Astyanax mexicanus: one gene and its partner. The protein of the gene in region 2 interacts with the protein of the main gene of each other region in a pairwise test. Links are inferred from orthologs where the notes say so. Each region holds a gene or a part of one and is shown on either strand. Other genes may lie near its edges.

Region 1 (11,076 bases), on a different chromosome or scaffold from region 2:
GTAACTCTGTATTGTAATAGAGAAGTGGGCGGAGCTTCTGGACATGGTGAACATAAGGCTTGTGTTGTGTACAGTAAAGTTGTAAGTGGTATTAGTGAATATAGTAACTCTGTATTGTAGTAGAGAAGTGGGCGGAGCTTCTTCTGGTCATGGTGAACATAAGGCTTGTGTTGTGTACAGTAAAGTTGTAAGTGGTATTAGTGAATATAGTAACTCTGTATTATAGTAGAGCTTGTTGGTGTCATTCTTTGTTCATGTTGTTCTATTTGATATTGCTTGTGTTTGGAACGTGTTGTAGGCCTTAAATGCAGGAATTGCTGTAAATCAGTAAATTTAATTGAGTTGAACACATTTAACATCTTAAATATCTTGGGGAATTTGCTTTTTCTTTACTGTCCCAAATTGTTTGTAAAAACACTTTGTGCCTCTATGATTGAAACACAACCCTAACATCATTCAGTGATATTATAAAGTGGATGAACTCGTATGTGTACCAAAATGCTTTAGGGCCCTAATTCAAAGTCATACTGTGTAATATTGTAACGTTATTAAACTTATGTGTTTCTCTGAAGAACACACTTCATTTTGAGGGATCGCCGAACCTCCACCAGCAGAAATCAATGGAGTTTGATATGTTTAACTTCACACAGGCCGTAAATATTTAACTTGAGTTTATATTGTTGTGCTTTTTCAAGTTACTATAGCCACGTATTGGGGTGGGGGGCTGTTTTCTGCAGGGATCCCTACAATACCCCTTTCTTTTATTCTATATTGAATATCATATTTCAATGATAAAAAAAAAAAAAAAAAAATCAGAAAAAGGGAAGTAAGTAATTTTTCTTGCCCATTTATGAAAAGCTCATTAAAAACAGGCAAAGAACAAACAAAGCTTCTCCTTTGAGGCACCCATTCAGACTCGTCCCCTAATTTCCCTCTAGTTTTAATAGTTGAGATAAATTAATTATTCCTTTGTGGAAAATACATTCTTTGCCATCTTTGGCTCATTGTTCCAGCCGGAGAGAATGGCGCCTAATCCTGGATGGAACAGAGTTCCCCTTCCAGCAGGGAAATCAGACCGCGCTCCGCAATCAACCACGACCACTCACAATTAAACCATTAAGACGGCCTACCGGAGACTCTTTACACACTGTACGTCTTATTAATGAATCCAGAGGCAACTCATAATTGCGCCCGAACTGATTAACTGCCCACTGAAACCCCGTCTCAGAGTGCCATGACACTTTTCACCTTCTGAACTACTCAAACAAACATTTCAGCACAATTCAACTTACAGAGTTACAGAGCCAACCACTGAAGTCCGAACCAAAGTCTGAACTCAGATTCATGCGTTTGTATACAGTACACAGTATACAGTATAGAGTTAATTATCAGAATACTCTCCCAGATGGCATGAAGAAACGGCCTGAGCTCGACTTTTGTATACTGCAAAAATCTAAAAAAATAAATATTAGGAAGTAAAATTATTAAATTTCAATGCAATAAATCTTATTCATCTTTTTTCTCTGATAAGAGTTTTTGTCTTACTAATCATTGTATAGATTGAATAGTAAGTGTAAGATTATTCAGCTTATTTTAGGAATAATGATCTTAATCAGACTCACAAAACAGAGGTACAAAAGGAGTACTTTTTTGTACTCAAAAGTACACTCTTCATAATTGTACCCTCAAAGGTACAATATTGGTCTTAACAGGGTCAGATTTGTGCCCTCTGAAGTAGAAAGTAATTCCTAACAGCAATAAGTACAAATTTGTACCATTTAACCAGGCAAAAGGTACATTCAGTATACTGTACCACTTTACTAATAAACAATATATATTTTATTTTCACATTTTTTTATTTGAAAGCCAGACAATTTTGCATCATGAAGTTCTTGACACATATTTAGTTGATGATAATGTTTATAATCTTTATAATCTTTACTGGCACAAAAAACATGGGAACAAAAAAAGACTTTCACTGAAAGGTACTTTTTCGTACCTTAATATAAGGTACAGCCCCAGCGACAAGCTTTTCACTCTTTTAAGTACAAATCTGTACTTACTTTTCTTAGTGTGTATTTTAAGTAGTTTAAACTTAAAATAAGCACAAACAAAGTCACCAGTCAAGTTATTCTGTTTCTTGTATCCAAATATAGGCCAAAAAAGTGTGATATTTTCTTGATTCAGGTGTTACTTCATTTATTTTGACACTTTGCTTGATTGCTTGTTATAATAAATCTAACTAAGAAAAATTAGCTTACCCCATTGGCAGTTTTTTTTTTTTGCTTAACATAGTTTTTGCCAATGGATTTTTTGCAGTGTATCATCGACTATTGGCATCGTCTATGTGGAATTGAGATGATGGCACTTGCAGCTCAGGCCAAATGTGGTTTACACTTGCGAACCAGGATGTTGGCAAAAGTGAAATGGGAGGATTCTCATATTATACTCTGCAACAGGGGCGTCGCCTGCCCTGGGCTTCCGGGCTATGGTTTTAAGTAAGCAACAGTAAAAGGTAACTATATTATTGCTAATATAAATTAGAAGTAAATTACATTGTTAAATAAAATGCTGGGAAAACTGGGGAAACTCTATGCAAAAGTGAAAGCTAGTGATGTTTTTTAAATGTTTTTAGAGTTTGTCATTTTCGTTTTCTGCCACATGCAGTTTTTTCATCTTGTTTCTAAGTTTTTTAATAAGACGGCAACAATCAACCATGCTGAATTACAGCACACTTTTAAATCCATCAAATATAAAAAAACTACATATTATGCAGGATGCTTAAAAAATATATGTAAAAAAATCTTATAATTGGCTGAGCTGAGCCCCGGGTCTTTAGCTGCCCATGCAACGCCCCTGCTCTGCAACCAGAGTGGTGGCACATACGGCTCAGGCTGATTGTCGTATTGTACTCAACAACCGAAGACTTGCCCCAGGCAGTTTAGGCTACTTATCATTGTCACACAACTTAGCCTGTGTCTGTCTTGTGTTTTTTCCTCTTTTGGTTCGATGTGCTTCTGCCCTCTGTTTTCCTGTCTTGTGTTCCCAGCCATGTGCTTTTTTAAGCACATGGCCATGTTGTGTTATTGTCCTGTCTTCGCCCTAGCCTTTCCCTAGCCATTAGTGTTGCCACCTTGTGTCTTGTTTGTAACCCCGCCCCCTCGTTTACTGGTTCCAGGTGTTCCTTACCCTCCTAGTGCATTTAAGCCCCTTTGTCTTAGTGTTTTTTGCTGTACTTGTATGTATGCGTCAGGTTTGTTTTTGATTTGAGTATTATTGTTTTCTAAGTTTTGATTAGTTTTTGTTCTGGTCTTAGTTATTTAGTTTCCCAGTTTAGATACCTGTTTTGTGTATCTTGCATTACTGGTGTTTGTTTTGTGTTTTGCTTTTGTTTAACTTTCCTGTGTGACAGTTATATTATACTCAACAACCGGGGTGATGGACTAAGTGATTTGAGCCAATTCCCATATTATACTCGACAACTGACGAACTGGAAAAAAGTGGACTCTTTAACCGAAGAGGTGTGGCTTGAGTCGATTGTCGTACTATACTCTACAACCAGAGAGTTCGCATTTGCGGCTCAGGTGAGCCCAGATGTGAGCCGAGCATTTGGGCCAGAATAGAGCCCAGATTCAAATTCGGATCTCTGCCAGTGCAACTCGTGCTCAGTGTGTGGTTTTTGTTATCAAGGGTGTCTTCTAGCCTTCAAAACACACAAATAATAAAGTAAGATTTTAATTTGCTACACTATAATCATAATTAAAAGGCAACACAGAAATCTCATTTTTTATAGCTCAACCACTTTTTATTTCCCGCAATGCATGCGCCCAAGGTGGACAATAACAGGGTGGATTATTATTATTATTTTTTTTATTTTTTATTATTTAATGAAAACATGGTTGATTTACAGTTGAAGACATGTTAAATTGTATACAGTAGCCTTGTATCTGTTTCAAAGACACATTTTAATTTTCTAAAATTCGTTTGATTTATATATGTCTAGTCAGAATGAATTAATAGAACTATTATTATTACTATTGATGATTTATTGACATAGCTGATGCCTGAAAAGGGATTCTAGCAGTAAAAACTACTCTAATGAAGAATAAGGAATCTTAATGAAGAGATCTTGTATTTGTTGAGTTCATTATTTACATTTTAAATATATATATATATATATATATATATATATATATATATATATATATATATATATATATATATTTTTTTTTTTTTTTTTTTTTTTCTGTTGGTGTTCTGTTGCAGTTTTGTTGCAGTTCTACAGAATTCTCTTCATTATGCTATAGTGACAACACCTTTATTTTCTAGTAGGTTCTTCTCTTCACCTCCTGCTATAGGAATATAAGCTTCCATTGCCCCTTAGACTAATGTAGTCCCCAAACTTTACACCAGCAGAGATGAGTAATCAATTATCAGCATTAAATATTGACGTTTAATGTATTCAGTTGTGTTTTTAGTGGTATAGTTCCATTTATGTCCAGATGATGGCGCCACTGTGTAAGAGCAGGTGCTGAAAAATGGCTTTGTGTTGGACAGTCAGTCACAGCAGCATCAAACTCACAGCCTGAAAAGTTCCTGTGCTCTCAGCTACATCTACAGCTACCAAAATATATATATATATATATATATATATATATATATATATATATATATATATATATATATATATATATATATATATATATATATATATATATATATATATATGCAGGTCAGCAGTGTTGCTCTGATATAGGGGTTGGTTGTGAAGGTGTTGCTGCTACATATGGTTAAATGTTGGAAAGCAACTTTATTTGGCTAATGGAACTGTATCCAAAACATGAAAATATGGTAGATGGTGCAACGCATATATTTGATAAATACAGCAGTGCCTACAAACATTAAGCTAAATGTTTTAGTCCCAAAACATTTAAATATATTTGGCTTAGTCTTCAAACATTTTGCTAAATGTTTGTCAAAAAAAAAACTTCTAAAAAAATTTCTAATAGGGCTGTGCCTGAAAATGTTTGGCTAAATGTTGGTATCCAGGAATATTACAAAAACGCTTGTCTAATAGAGCTTTGTCTAAAAACATTTGGCTAAATGTTTATATCCAAGTACATTGCAAAAATACTTGTCTAACAGCGCTTTGTCTAAAAATGTTTTGCTATATGTTGGTATCCAAGAACATTGTAAAAATACTTGTCTTAACTGATCAGTGTGTCTAAAAACGTTTGGCTAAATGTTCAAGTCCAAAAATATAGGGAGTTCAGAAACATGTGGTGGAATGCAACTCCACCAAATTCCATGGAATCCACACACATTTAGCTAACTGTTTTAACCCAAACACATTTAAATACATTTTGGCTAATTGTAGTAAGGTTTCAAACATTTGGCTAAATGTTTCAACAAAAAAAAAAAAAAAAAAAAAAAAACATTTAAAATAATTTGGCTAATAGTAGTAAGTCTTCAGACATTTGGCTAAATGTTTTGACCCAAAACATTTAAATACATGTGGCTATTAGTAGTTAGTCTTCAAACATTTGGCTGAACGTTGGAGTCCAAAAATATTGCAAAAAGTTTTGTCCAATAGAACAGTGTACAGAAACTTCTGGTTAAATGTTGGGAGTCCAAAAACGTTTGGTTAAATGTTGGAACGCAATACATCTATGTATCAGAGCTGTGTCTACAAAGGTTTGATTAAACGATGGAAAATATAAAAGTAGAAAAATTAAACTGCAGCTCACCTCCTTCACTCAGAACTCAATGTGCTGTATTGCGCTGCTCTGATTGGCCGGATTTGTTCATCCCCCGGAACGGAGCTCCGCACGATTGGCTGCTACAGATTGACGTGCTGCAATGTGGGCGGAGCCTGTGTGTTTTTTTATTATTTGTATTTTTTCTCAGTCACTGACACATGTAGAGCAGCGCAGCGAGCAGCGCGGAGAGAGAGAGACAGAGACAGAGACACGAGGAGCAGCGGCGGAGATTACGAGCCTCACACCGCGTTTCAGAGCTCTCACACCGGCCACAGCCTGAGGGAAATTACCGAGAGCTGAACGAGAGACCGAGCTGAGCGAGAGTACGAGCGGTGTCGGGTTCGGGAGAGACAGGGAGACGGCGGGAGGAGGCGAGGGACGGGTCGGAACCGGTGGAAATATAATCTGTAAACTCCATTTGCTGAAGCGGATCCGGAGCTGAGCAGCGCTGTAGCTGATTCTCCAGCCCGCCAGAGAGCTCACCACTGCCCGGATACCTCCTCATGCAGAGCCGCTGAGCTTTATGGACGATTTGTTTTGGTGTTTTTTGAAATATTTTGTTAATTTGACATTTTTTACCAGTTTTTGAACTGTTTCTTGACCCCCCACGGGACACAGAAAGAAAGCTACAGTCATTTAGACGCTTGAAAACGAATTTACTCGGCTGTAAAAGAGGTGAGTTCGGGTTTTTAATGGTGTAAAACTAGTCCAACTTTTAAACTTACACCCTTTTTAACTTAGAAAAATCTACATCTTACTATTGTCAGAATAATGTAATGCTTATATTTGTTTATTAAGCTTTTATTAAGGGTGGTTTACTTCCTCAGGTACAGCTGCATAGCTAACCTAGTAAACGTGCGCATTAATTAGGAATAAGCTCATTACAATAAGGATGCACGATACTGAAGAAAAAAAAAGGTGCATTGCGATATTTTTTCCTGCGATATATATCACGATATGAATTTTTTTTTTGAAAAATAAATAAATAAATAAAATCTAAAAAATTAACGATCCAACATGTCACAATATTGATAATCTAATAATGCTCTGTGTATTGAAGATTTGAGTGAAATCAATATTGATGTAATCTACTTTTGATAACTAATAGTTTGTTATAGATATGTCATTTAAAATATCTTTTTTGTATCAAACAGCAAAAAAAAGGATGCAGAAGTTATGTGAATATGTGTATGATATATTGTGTAGCCCTAGTTTAAATAGCATGGCAAAGACTGCAATAATGTCAACTAATATTCACAAAAAGTCAAGTCTGTCACTTGTTTTATCATACAATATATGTTTTTATACAGTATTTTGTACAAAATATAGTTCAATAGTTGTGCTGTTAGTAACACATTTTAAAACGTCCATCCAAATACCCTCCTATACACACAGCACTTTAAAATGATTTGTTTTAATCAAATGTTGCTACATACTTTTCATGTTAAACCACAGTACAGTAATTACACACTCTGTAATGCATGTAAAAAAAAGTACACACAGTTTAACTATAGCTCTAGAATTGCACTTTTTTTAATGTCAAAGGTATACTACTGTAATGAACAGGTATTACTTATAATAAGGTTTATAAGAAATATAAGATAAGATCATCCTTTATTAATCCAAACCACAGTGGGGGAATTGGTGTATTGCAATATTACAGCAGTGTAGAGGACAGAACAGATGGAAAATATGTTCAAAAATATACTAGACATTAGTATTACTCGTGCACATGATGACATAGACTAGTTAACAGATTAAACAGATTGTGCTACACATGGTGAATCAATGGGATACTATTATAGGATGTTGCATATATAGTAAACAGTATGCAGTTATCCTGCACCTGGTTGGACAGTGATAAAAATAAAGCGTTAATAGTAAATAGTAAAGAGCTGTATTGAAAAACCTTATAGAACTGGAGGAAACATTGTCCCCCATAGTGTATATGTTGTGTTAAACAGTAAACAGTGATGAATAAGCAAATTATTAAAAGCAAAAAATAAGTAAATAAGTTATAATATCTCTCTTAATGAAATTGAACAAAGTGAATAGAGTGTGCTACACATGGTGAATGGGGAGATATAGCATATAGTAAACAGTACACAGTTCTACAACAAATGGATGGACAGTGAGTAAATAGTACATAGTAAAACTTTATGTTGTACGTAGATGTAGATTAGAGAAAACATGTTTTCCCAGTATATAGTTTGTGCTGTTGTAGACAGTGCTCATTTATAATTGACTTAAGTTAACAATAAATAAATAGCAGATTAACATTAAAAAGATGTGATATTGGACATAGCATGCATAGTAAACAGAGTGACCAGATAGTGAGTGCTGCACATGGTGAACAGTACACAGTTATACAGCACCTGATTGGACAGTGATAGAAGTATTGTACATAAGTAAACAGTAAGTGTTTAGTGTTATTTTACAAAATGACATAGAAAACAGAGTGAACAGAGTGTGCTACACGTGTTGAATGGGACTATTATGGGATATTGCACATATAGTAAACAGCACACAGCACATGATCTTACTTTAATAGCAAAAAAATGTGATTTAATAGCAAATTACCAATAAATATGTAATATGAGTACTATGTATTATGATCATATAGTTCTAAACATGGTAGTACAAGTAGCCTGGGGGGATATTATGGATATTGAACATTAAACAGTAAACAGTTATGTTTAACAGCACATGGTTAGTGCTGTGATAGTGATGCTTAGTGTTATTTAAGTTATATTGTAGGAGTATAATATATTCATATATATTTATCAGAAATTATTCAATTTAGTCAGCTGAATGAAAGCAGTGTCTGTTATTTATACAGATGTTTAACATCAGAGAGGTCTGCGGTCACCATGCCGCTTATCTTCTCTGGCGAACGCTATATTTCGTGCTCGAGCTGCACGGCCGTGTAATTGCTTGAGTTAGCCCATTTAAGTTAAAAGCCTCCCCCCTTCCTCCTCCTCCTCATCCTCTTCCTCACCCACCTTCAAATCTCCCCTTCCTCTGTAGCCGGAATGAAACTTGACGATGGTCCGATCTTATTTATCAGGAGCAGTCCCTTTCTGTCCGGCCCCTCTGATTCATCTGCTTTTAGATTTAATCAGCACTAAGGTATTGCTTGTCCCTAAGAGCCTCCACTAATGGGGTTTATACTGAATGCCTCTCTCAGTGCAACGTTTTTCTACCCCTCCTCCTCCTCCTCTTCCCTCCTTCCTCCTCCTCCTCCTCCTCCTCCTCTAATTACCTTTCAACACAGATTTGGCTTAGCCCGCCATGAAGGCAGGCCTGACCAAATTGGAAAGGATTAAAAATTAAAATATATTAACTTAGTTGAAGGGCGGAACTGAGAAAGATGCATCTGTCGAATGCGAATAGATGACAAGATACACAGTCAACGTTCCTTAACATGTGTTCTTAAGTGTTTTAGCGTCCTTGTGTTCCTACCTGGCATCATTTTCTATGGCCCAAGTTGCATTCCAATACTTAAAAATGTATTTCCTCACTAGAAGTAAAAGATTTTTCCTTCTAAATTGAAAGTAGTAGGGCACATCTTATAGTAAACATATACATCAGTGCGCCACATACTGTATATTTATTCTAAAATCAAATTAGTCTGGTAGGTCCTCTGGCCTCTTTTTTTTTGTTGGCAACAACAGCTTTTACTGATTACCTGAGCAACCATGGTGCTGCTAATGGCACTGAAACAAGAGCCACTGCGAACATGGAGAGATCAGAAAGGCAAACTCTGCAAACAGACTTCATCTGTTCATTTACACATCTCTAAACCAAATAAACACAGAATTAAAACTGAAGAGAGCTCAAAGATAAAAAGGAGCTCAGCAGAATCCTCACTAAAATCACCAGATGCATTAATTCTGAAATAAAACTACACCACAATCATTAAAAAAAAAGTACTTTTTTTTAACATCCTCAGTACAATTACACACTATGCAATTTTCACTATGGATGCAGAGTGATAGCAGAATTATATCAATATCTGCCAATAATTTTACCTTTAGAGTCATTAGTATGGCCAATATTTCAAACAGAAACTTGCTCATTTATGTATAGTATGCTGAAAAAGGACAAAGTTATTCTGTCCCCACTAGAACAATTGGCCGACACTGGCCTCACTACTTTAAAATGGAAAAATCCATTGATTAAAACTAATAAAAATAAATAAAAACTACCTTAAAAGTTATAAAGTTATATACCAGGTTTTGTAGTCTCTCTGTAAGTTATAAATGTATATTGACATCTGCCCAGAGTTCATCTCTGTTTCTCACCTCTGTCACTTTAAATAAGTTGCTGTTATGTCAATACTGCATATGCATGTATTACAATGGCCAGTAACAGCAAAAAAAAAAAAAAAAAAAACAAAACAAAAAAAAACGATATATCTATCACAATATTAAAAGACATTTTTACCATACTCAATATTTACAAGCGACATGTTCTGGCCTGACATCATTTTCCACAGCCCAGGTCACATTTCAGTACACAAGAACACATTAAGGAAGCAGTTAGAGTTCCTTGGTGTGCTCTTGCTCTGCCTTTAAAAACAAGGATGCATCAGTTAGGAAATTGCTGACAATATTTGATAGAAATGCTAGAATAAGTTCTAGTATTTGAAATACTAGTTCTAATCTGTGCACATAGAGAAATAGGTAGTAAAGTTAAATCTAAGAATGTATCTTTGTATTAAGAGCAGAGGCACAGTACAGACTCGTGTTCTTGGGGAGATTGTTCTTAAAAGTTACCTTGTACCTTGAACACCAGAATGGTGAAAATCTATTGAAATGCTGTGTAATTGCCTGAATAATTGTATCAGGGTAAAAATAAGGTAGCAAGGTAGTTAGCTGACCTAACTGAGATGATTAGAAAGCATTGTTTATTTATATATATATATATATATATATATATATATATATATATATATATATATGTATATATATATATATATGTATATATATTTTTTTTTATTATTTATTTTATTTATTTATTTATTTTTTTATTTCACTTACCGTTTATAGTATAACTTCTATTAGAGCTGGGCAATATATCAATAGTTTGTGTAATACATTTTCTTATTGTATTGACAGTAAGAATATCGAGGATATCATGAGTACCAACGCTGACTGAACTGTGCATTTCAATACAGAGATGAGAGTGTAAAAAAAAAAAACTGTTTAATGTTGATGATGGGAAGCAAAAACTATATAAGAATCACATTACTAATTTTAATATCAGAATAACAGAATTTGCCTCTGCTGATGCATTTTGTCTGCATGTCAGAATA
Region 2 (10,324 bases):
GGCGGTGTTCCAAGAAGCAGGTTTGCTGACACAGACAGGAGTGGTCCAGCTCAGCACCCAGAAGAAATGGTCGGACAGGTTCGTGGTCAGATGTACGCGTCACGTGATGGAAGAGGACATAGTATGGAGGAGATGCAAAGACCTGGCAGAAGCTTTCAGAATATGGAGAAAGGAACAGACTATCTCCAAACTATGATAAGAGAAGCAAGAGCTGGAACCTATGAGATGCAGGAATATGCCAAAAGGGGTGGTATGGGAGATTATGCTCAGGAACATGTCCCACACAAAAAGAAAAGGGAGAGTAGATTTTCTGATGCCACACCAAAGGAGGTTGAGCTTGCACAGAGGAGGTAATGTCTATTTCCAATTGATGGCAATCTATCAAAGAATGGAGCATGTTTTAAAGAAGAAATCCAGTGTGAAATCAACTTGTAGAGGTGAAAATGGTGTAGTAAAATATGATAAGTGTAAACTTTTGTGGAGTAGCCCACCTCCATTCACCCCCAGCATTCTGAAATACAGCACTTTTAGCCGATGCTCCCAACAGGCTTACAGTGCTGGTGATGGGGGCATAGCATTGCCCATGCAAAGACATCGCCACTTTTTTTAATAAACTTTTTTATTTTCTTTGTTAATGGTGTGAAAATAGCCGTTTCTTTGCACCTGTCACCAGCATTGTAAGCCTGTTGGGAGTATTTGCAAAAAGTGTTGCATTTCAGAATGCTGCGGGTGATCAGAGGTGGGCTGTGTGACAAAAGTTTCTACTCATCATATTTTACTATACCTCCATTTACACATGATTTTTACATAATTTAACAAACTTCATATTTTTTTTTAATATGTAAAGTTATATGTGCTAGTTTTGTATCTTTTATGATTCACTTTGATAACCCTTGTACTTAAGATTTCCAATGTATATATATTTTTTTCAGGTTTAAAGAAGGCACATTTCCACCCATGAATCAAAGTAGAGGCCCAGTTCAGGTGTGTTTAATGGAAAGTTGTCACTGCTCCAAGCATGTGTACTCACTAGATCATTGTGCGTGCGTGCGTTGAACATCTATTAATGAGATTTCTTGCCATCACGTTCTTGTGATTAGATTACAGGCAAGGTTTGCATCTTATGACTCGTCCATTAAAGTACTGCATAAACAACACTTTGCTAAACTTTGTTGTAAATACTCAACAGTAATGTAGACGTTCTGACTGTCTGTTGGTATTTAACATTATTTGATCCACCGGGTCACTTGTGTTGCTTATGTGGCAGAAGTCATATTAACTTCTGCCCAGTGACATTTGGCATGTTGGTTTGTTGTTTTTTATGTTTTGTTGGCCTCAGATGCTCTAACAACTACAAGTACAAAATGACAAAAGTCATTTGGCCAAAGGTCCTTAAGTGTATTTGTTTTTTTTTTTTTTGGTCCTAATATCATATCAAAAATGTCTATACAGGTATTTGAAGAAAGAAGGGCTTTAGATTCGATGCACACTGCTGTGAACTCGGAAAATGTTTTGGACGTGCTGGTAAGTGTAGACGATTAAACAAATAATTACTGTCATTGTTTTGTGTTTTTACTTTTTTTTTTTTTTTTAAGGATGGGGTCCAAATTGACAGTGCAGAAGAGGCTAACTTCTTGAAGCAAAAGTTGTGCGATGTTCTGAAGCAGTTTCATGCGAATAAATCTCAGCGTTCTGAGGTTTGAACTGGATCCTTGTCTTTTCACTACTCTAAAATAAGGTTTATCTTATAAATTCTAAATCTTTTTTTCCACTCCTCAAACACATCCCAGGTCTCTCCAAGTGACAGAGAGTACAGGAGTGACGTATGGATGGATCAGCGGAGGAACGCGCAGGAGATAAGAGAGTCCGCAAGATATGACCGTGATCTTAGAAATTTAACAAATGATTCCACGGGCGTTAAAGAGACATGGCCATGGCCAGAGAAAAATACCAGAGATGTTCAGGACCCAAGATATGTTGAAGACCAGAGACCTGATACAAGATATGAAAATCGTTCTACAGATTTTCAAGAATCAAGACCTTATGCAGACTCTCAATCAGATTTCCCACAGGCAAGAAGGTTCAAGGACAATCCCAGAGATTTTCAACACGGTGGCCAATTTGGAGAAAATCGTATGGCTTTTCAACAGGAAAGAGGGTTATGTGACAACTCCAGGGATGTTCAGCAAGCGGGACATTTTGAAGATCATTTTTCAGCATACCGGCAGGCCAGCAGTTTTAAAGAGAGCTCAAGAGCAGGACATGTCGAAGAGGACCCCAGAATCTTTCAGAGCATGAGACACACCGGGGGTACTGAAGAAAACAGAAGTTACGAACAACAATTTGAAGGAGCAGTATTGGGAAGACATGGCGATCGTGACTTCAGACGCGTTGATGCTCAGCATGAATTTGAATGGGGTGCACAAAGAAATAGATCGACTGGTCGGTCTGATGAGTTCAAGGATTATCATCCAGATGCTGAAAGAAAAGCTTATCAAGGTAGGCTGATGAGCAGTTCTAGTTTCTTCTAGTTCGATGTCTGTTTAGAATATTTTATACTTTGCGTATATTTATTGTCTAAATCTTAGAAGAAATAAAGGGTCGAAAAGAAAATTTAAAAGCTGATCAAATCCCAATTTTGTTTCACACTTATCTTTTCAGAGGGCCATTGGAAAACCAGGTCGCTCAGAGAAGATCAGGCATATGGCGAGAACCAAGCGCATATGCCTCATTACCACGTAGATCCAAGTACAGAACTCTACGATCCATTTCATCCATCATCGTCTCCACCACCAGCACCACCCCCCTCCAGTCTGGAAAAGCTGGCTTCCACTCTCTTGGAGCTTGTGTCACGAAACTGAATCTGAAAGGATTCCTAAGTGTAATGTACATAGATTTGTATTTGCTTATTTTGTGTAACGGTTAATTATAAATGTGTCATGTCTATTAGAAATGAATAACAGACATAGTTCTTTTCTGTTCTGATTGGATTGTATATTGCATTTGTAGTTGTTTTGATCTTTTTGAATTGTTGGCTGAATCTAAAAGAGAATTGTTGTTGCAGAAAATACCAGAAAAAATAAATTTTTGTTCCTAAAATCCTTCTGTCTCTTTCCTTAATTCCTCATGTCAATTTTCTTTCTGGCCGAGTTGTTCAGTGTTAACATTGGGGGGGAAAATGCAGACTTTCTGACTCCTAATAATGAGTATGAAAATAATTATCCCATAAGAGCCCAGACCCAGTTTTGAATATTGATTCAAAATAATTGGATCAGTTATATTGAGCAGCCCATTAATGATTCTTCTGATCGTGATCAAGGTCACAAAACTTCTGTAAATCTTTTAAGGTTTAAATCCCAAAGCAACACATCACAATGACAATTTCACAACATGTTTCATCATTTTGTTCAGCTTTGTAAATTGGCTTTTGGTAAATGGGGTCAGATGCACACATTCACAAACTGCCCTGCTACACACCCAGGATGTTTACATGCGTCACTTGAGGATTTCATAAGTTTGACTGAGGGACCAAGTACTGTAAAAAAAAAAAAAAAAAAACGCTTTCCGAAAGGACTGAGACACATTACTGGGAGGAGTTTTAGTTGTTGAATGAGCCATGGAGAAATGAATGTGTTCAAACTTATCTAACATGGTTTAAACCACCAGATTTGCAGTGACAGCAAAAAAAGGACACCTACTACTGCAGGACACAGCGTAGCTGAAGCTGAAAACATAAAAGGAGGAAGTAGATGCCGGTCGAAAGAAAATGTATTTTTATGTACCATTACTGAGACCATATTACCTTTTTTTACTTCATGTTTTTTCACTTGTTGACTGTACATGTCAAAATGCAGGAAGGTAGATCTCCATAATGAGTACTGATAGCCAGTACTTTAAAATAATTGGTGTCCACATTTCACCATATAATGTATTTAAGGATTTTGGAGCACACTGTTGTCTTTCCCATAAATCTGCTATTTTAATAAATAATGCTAAGTGATTCTGTCCCTCATCTTTTGTCCCCAGCCTCGTACCCTGGGTCATGCTTGATTATACGGTTTAGCTTGGGCAGTTTGATCATGCATCAACTGAACTTGTAGACCAGCTAAACCATCAAACTTCTACCCAGGCTGTTTTGTTTTTTTTGGTAGGGAAACCATGTTTGCATGAAAAACCATTAAATTGGTAAAGAAAATCAATCGAGTACATCTAGTGAAGTTTTTTTGAACATTCACTTTAGGCATATACATCTTTATTACTATTACTACTAAATATGCATTAACATTTGACTATCAAAAATAAAGCTGCACAACAGGGTGGATTGTAATAAAAATGTGGATGATCATTGGAATTCACCATTTGAAATCACCAATAGAGTTCATGGTGACATTGTTCAGTTTCAAATATACATTTTAATTTCCTTATAATTTACAATGACAGGGTAGAAAGCATTAGCTTTGCCTCAGCTATATATGTTTGTAAAAATTAATGAATATCACATTAAATTAACATTATAAATTGCTGAATATGCAGGAAGGGTCTTTCATCCCTTAAAAAAAGACAACAATCCACAGTAATTTACTGGTAATTCACAAAACTTGGTTGAGATTTGGGGAAGCTGCTTTTAGCTATTATGGCCCAAACCTTTGGAACGCAAAGCCATTTCATCTTTACACATTTTTAAAAAGAGTATTAAAACATTTTTATTTAAATTAGCATTTTCATGTGTATATTTTTTTTGTGTAAAGCACTTTGGGTTGCACTTGTGTATGAAAAGTACTGTATAAATAAAGATTATAATTATTATTTATTATAATTATTTTTTTATTATTGTGTAAATATGCACAGTTGAAATGAGCGGGCTGCTCTCGCCGAGCCAATCGTAACGGCGGAGGGCGGGGCTTGCCGGAATACAGGTGGACTGCGCGCTTTACAGGTGGGTTTCTGTTTTGAACGTCACGGTAAACGTAACACTTATTCCGGTTTGAAAAGAAGTTGTCAAAGCGTCGGCCATCTTGGCTCCTGTATCACCCTGAATTAAATTAAAATAGCGCTGAAGAGGACTGACTACAGGACTACAGGACTGCTGTACGGGTTCATCACCGAGAGTGAGTACAACAGCGGGACGCGACGCGCCGCTCCGGCTCGGTTTTAATGGCGGGTTGGGGTTAGATTAGGCGGAGGTCATGAGAGAGCCCTCGGCCAATGAACGGCCTCATCCAATGATTGTTTTGGAGGATGAACATGGGCGCCATTTCCCTCCTCGCTCTCTGAGGCGCTTATTGGTGGCTAGTGGAGAGGAATGGAGGCGGTCGGGAAACTGGCGGCCACTATCCGCCATATTGGCTCCGGGCTCCGCTGCGGCCGGTTGAACGCGGGCTTTGTGTTGAGCCCGAATGGCGTTGGTTTTCAACTCGCCAGCCCTTAGAAAGCTTGATTGGTGGAATCTAGTCCGGGGTTTGATTGGTCTGAAGGACAGATCCAAACGTAGTCTTTATTGGTTAGTATGTCTTTACAGCGCTTTACAAATATTTTAAGACACTTTAGCGTGGGGCTGCTGGATGTGTGACTGGACGCATCGCTCCGCTTTTAGTCCACAAACAAGATACTCGCGGCCTGCTGATAATAGCGAGCATTGTCTCCAAACTTTCACCAGCTCCTGTTTAAAACGCACATTAACACGCTGTCCGCCGGCGTTCATAAGGCTAGTGATCATACTGGCTTACAGTAACTACACTGTGTTACTGCTGAGCCAGAAGCCGCGCTGCCATTCACTTTCATTACAGGGTTATATTTATTAAACGATTTCTAGCTAACATAGTTTAGCTTAGATTGGTGTTAGCAGGCTAACGCTAATGGTCATGTGGGTTTGTGTTACGGCGAGCACAAATATTACATATTTGGTTATAGCATCACTTTACACTGTTTAAAAAAAACAACATAAAACAAAAAAACATGCAAATACTCCATCAAACAGGCTGTAAGAACTTTAATTTTCGTGCTTTCCCGCGGTAAACATTTGTTTGTACATAGCTTGCTAACTTATTAACTAGCTAGTTAATGTCTGTGCCAAAATAGCTAGCGTTAGCTAGTGATAGGTTAGTAGTTAACTAACCATATATATAAGTTATATATTTATAATATGTAGCCTTAGCTAGTTAACCCTCTATGAAGGAAAACTGTGGATATTAGTTATCAAATGACAGACTGATCATTGGGATCAAAGCTATAGGTACTTTTGAGCAGCATAACAGATGTCATATCGTAACGTGAGCAAAAATATTTCAAAAATACCCTGATATATAGTCGTATATTTTAGCACCATATGGACCATCAGGGTAAAACAATTGCTCTTTGTAGCAAAAGGAAAATTCACACTTCTAATTTCCCATTAAGTACCTGCTAGAGACAGATTCTATTTGTACAGTATTATTTATTTTACTTCATTTCTGGATATATGGAGTGCATTGTTAGTATCGTGACATTATTGATGATCTGCAGTAAATCTCAGTTAGGACTTTGGTTCATTAAATCTGCCATATGCCACATGCAATAAAATCAAACATTTCCAAAGTTACTATAACATATAAATCAAGTCTTGCTTGGTCTCAGAAAGTAGGGTTTATTCAGGGGCACTGTGTTTGTGTTCAAGTTACTGGTTACAGTAACTGTGTACTCTAATTTCCAAAAAAACTGGAATCACCACAAGATACAAGAAGTTTTTGACCTTTCATTTTCTGGCTCTACTGCCCAAACCTTCAGTACTTCTTCTCCTGACAGCTCTCAGTCTAACTCACATTCACAGTTCTGAATAAAATCATTTCACCTTACTCATCTCTGTGCTTACTAAGTATGGAGCCTGTGGTTCACTACAGAGTACATTAAATAAATGCTGATTTTTCAAATAGTTAACATTGCTGTGCATGTCTAAAAAAACAATGAAATTAACTACCTGTGACAAAAATGTAACATCTGCACAAAATGTAATCACTTTTCCTTTTATTGCACTAAAAGTATTCAGAAGATTCAGGCTAGTTTTGGATCTCCCACAAAGTAATGCCAATCTTTTCAATGATAAAATATAGAGGTTATATTATGCATAATCCTTTTAATTGCACCACAAATTAGATTACTTTACATGGTTCATATGGTCATGAAAAACCTGGAAAAGTAATGGAATGGCAATTTTCAGTCCTGGATAAGTTTTGGAAAAATAAAAAAAGAAAATGGAAAAGTCATGGAAATTTGATCTACAAATCTTTTTGTTTCCATTTGTCAGCAGAGAAAATCTATTTTGAGCTACAAATACATCAGCTCGAAGTTAATTCAGTAATTTAGTCTGATCCATTTTTAGGCCTACTATAAATATATTATATCATATAATATTATATTATAGGTTTAGTTGATTTTTGGTTTTATTGTCCATGTCTGCACTCATGTTTTAAAAATTGTATGGTCATGGAAATTTGCCTTAAATTAGGAATATAAGGAGCCTCCTTCACATACTTTATGTATGATAATATCGGTGTAAACGGACTCTGCAGAATGTAATAACGATAACTAGTGATGCTGTACAGCTCCAGTAGGCATATTTGGGGATATGATTTGTCATGGTGCTCGTCACCTTAATCCAGAATAATCAGATGCAATTAAAACAAGCTCTTCAGCCCAGCCTCCAAGCCAGGACTTTACTTAATGGAAAGCCTTTGTAATTTACTACAAAGGATTATGTACTTCCTGATCTCATTTATCTAGTAAACTCTACTTAGCCTATTTGCAGTGAATTAATTCCAGTCGTAGCATGTTGGGCATTATATTGCTTTCTCATGGATATAAAACCAGCTGAACAGTCTGTGCTGAGTGACACAGTGCATTTAATATTTCAGCCGCTGTTTCTAACCACATTACCCAAAGACAGTGAATGTTGCTGTAACACAGGAAGTGAGGTCCTCTGTGGCAGTTGAATGGCATGCCTGGAAACCATGACTCTCATGATAGTGCACCTTGATCTGACTTGGTCATAACCTGTTAAGATGTCTGTTAAAACTTTTGTAATGCTTACTTTTGTAAGCCTTATCCAGGGCGCAGTTGCAGACATACTGTTTAATTTTTAAAACCAGTGACTGGTGTAAAGGGAGGTTTTGCACTCAAATCATCTACAGAGCTTTTTTAGGAAATAGGCTACCTTTTTTGTTAGTTATCCTGTTTAACCCAGTGTTGCGCAGTTATGTGAGATATATCCAGCTCAGTTTGAGGTTAATTAGGTCCCATTTCACTCAGCTGCATTTTTTTATGGATTATTTAGTAAACAGCTTCCCACATATCCATCCACCTTTGCTGTTCACACAGCAAATTTCCCAGCACAGTCACGGTTGTTCCTAGTGATGTTTGATATACCAGACCACTGTTTAAACTTTCAAAACTCGTCTGGCTAGTCTGTGTTCTTATATAATTGCTTATATTTGATCAAGTTGCAGGTAAGATTTTAGTTTTTAATGATTACCCTAATGTTTTTTGCTGGTTATTGGTGGTCATATATACATTTTTGTTTTATATCACATCGTGACCATGAACTGCTGATTCTTATTATTTGCACTATACTTACCACAAGCTGGAAATGCATATTGTCTTTTTGTGGGCATTGATTTTATTTTCATTTTCAGAACTTTTCTTTAGACAGTTGCTTAGAGGAGTCCATATTGTGTAAAAAATAAACCATTAGAAGCTTTGTAATTCATTTAGCTGGGAGTTTGTTACAGTAGGTTACATTGCATATGGTGGTTTATACATGCATTTTGTAGCTGCAGACATGCTTATTTTTCGCAGGCATACTTCACTCATTTTCAAAGGATGTGCATCAAAGCAATGCAAGCACCAGAGTACCAATTCTGCCCTCCTATGGAAAAATGACTAATTTAAACTATGCATTTATAGATGTGTTGATGTGCATTTTAAAAAATGCATTTAGTTGTATGTATTTATTTATCGAGATGAGAGAATTTGGGAAAAATGGTTTTCTTAACGCCCTACATATTTAAGTTTGGTTAGGTACACAGAAGAGCTACTACAAGAATCAGTGATGGCCAGATCTTATTTATTAAATTAATTGCATACATGGATAACTTGTCTCATATTTGTAAGCTACTCATAACGCTGCATTTTGGGCTAAGCATAACAAGCATGAGGGAGAAATCTAGTCACTGCCCTCAGCAGGGGTCGTGATGGTGTTGCAGGTAGCAGTGAGAGAATGCAGCCATGGCATTTTGGCCAGCTGTTCCATAATCTCCTGTGCCTTGCTGCTATGTAATCATTTACCAGTGTACTGTGTGTCCAAAACGCTTGAAATCAGTAATGCTTCGCCTCAGTCAAGCTCGTTGGTGACCTGCTCTTTCACTCTGCTTTTTTTTTTTTCTTGTACATTTTGATCCTGTAGAACACAACCTCTGTTCGTACCCTCCATCTCTGCCCCCTCCCCCATCTCTCCCTGAATATGCAGGTCTGTGTGTGTTCCATCCTGCTGTTTAGTTTCTCAGAACAGTGGGGATTTGCTGTAATGACAGGAATAACCTTGAGGTCATTCCACCATCCCCTGCATCTTTGAAAGCAAAAATACCATCTACTGCTTTTACCTGCTGCCATTTCTATAAATTGTGTGATTGTGACCTAGTCAGCTTGGGTGAGAAGTGAGGTCATCTGAAATGTGATTCATGAATTACCGTACTGTACCCTTTTGCACACATAATTGAGCTTTGCGTAAGTGGTGCATCTGTCTACATTATTAAAACTGCTGCATGAGATTTTCTATACTCATAATATCCTAATTCATATGAGATGTTGGTATTTTTGTTCACAACTATGTAATGTTATAGTTTATTCATAATACAGAAAACATCTCTTTTTTTTGGTTTGTTTTATAGTTTTAAACTCTGGTCAATTGTGTTTGTCTGTTCCTGCCTTTGACAACTGTCAGCGTATTTAGGCTGAATGACTTAAGGTCACCTTTGCTGGTCAGTGTATTTCCTGATTTCTTAACGGCAAAACATCATACACGTAGTCTTGTGCTAATGCTTTAATCCTCACCAATAAACTGCACATTGCCTGCACCTTTAGAGCACGGATGTCCTTGCACATGTATGTGCCTGCAAATCTGCCCTGTATGACATTCCACTTTAAATCATCCGGCGACAGCATGCGGCATGTTCCTTGACACCCCTCTGAGCCAATGGCTGCTCTGGAGGTGATTTGCATCAGCGCCGAGTCGGCCACTGTGCTCCTCGGAGGGGCGGGCTGTAGAGACATTTTGTTTGACATTGTAAATAAGCAA

The links. The genes of interacting proteins can lie anywhere in the genome.
Region 1: the proteins of nfyc (region 2) and lmo4b interact in binary tests that used the Homo sapiens proteins (3 or more experiments, as listed by UniProt). The link is inferred for Astyanax mexicanus from reciprocal best matches to the Homo sapiens genes NFYC and LMO4.

Annotation. Positions count from the first base shown.
Region 1 is NC_064412.1:49,900,581-49,911,656, forward strand, and holds the start of lmo4b (LIM domain transcription factor LMO4b), read left to right. Parts: upstream 1-5,916; 5' UTR 5,917-6,434; intron 6,435-11,076. UniProt on the Homo sapiens protein: Transcription cofactor. Plays a role in establishing motor neuron identity, in concert with MNX1, acting, at least in part, to disrupt LDB1-LHX3 complexes thereby negatively modulating interneuron genes in motor neurons.
Region 2 is NC_064410.1:49,641,581-49,651,904, forward strand, and holds the start of nfyc (nuclear transcription factor Y subunit gamma), read left to right. Parts: upstream 1-4,955; 5' UTR 4,956-5,108; intron 5,109-5,475; exon of another isoform or gene 5,476-5,500; intron 5,501-10,324. Other genes in the region: uncharacterized protein si:ch211-13c6.2, read left to right, coding at 1-350, 933-984, 1,453-1,524, 1,596-1,697, 1,791-2,499, 2,662-2,861. UniProt on the Homo sapiens protein: Component of the sequence-specific heterotrimeric transcription factor (NF-Y) which specifically recognizes a 5'-CCAAT-3' box motif found in the promoters of its target genes.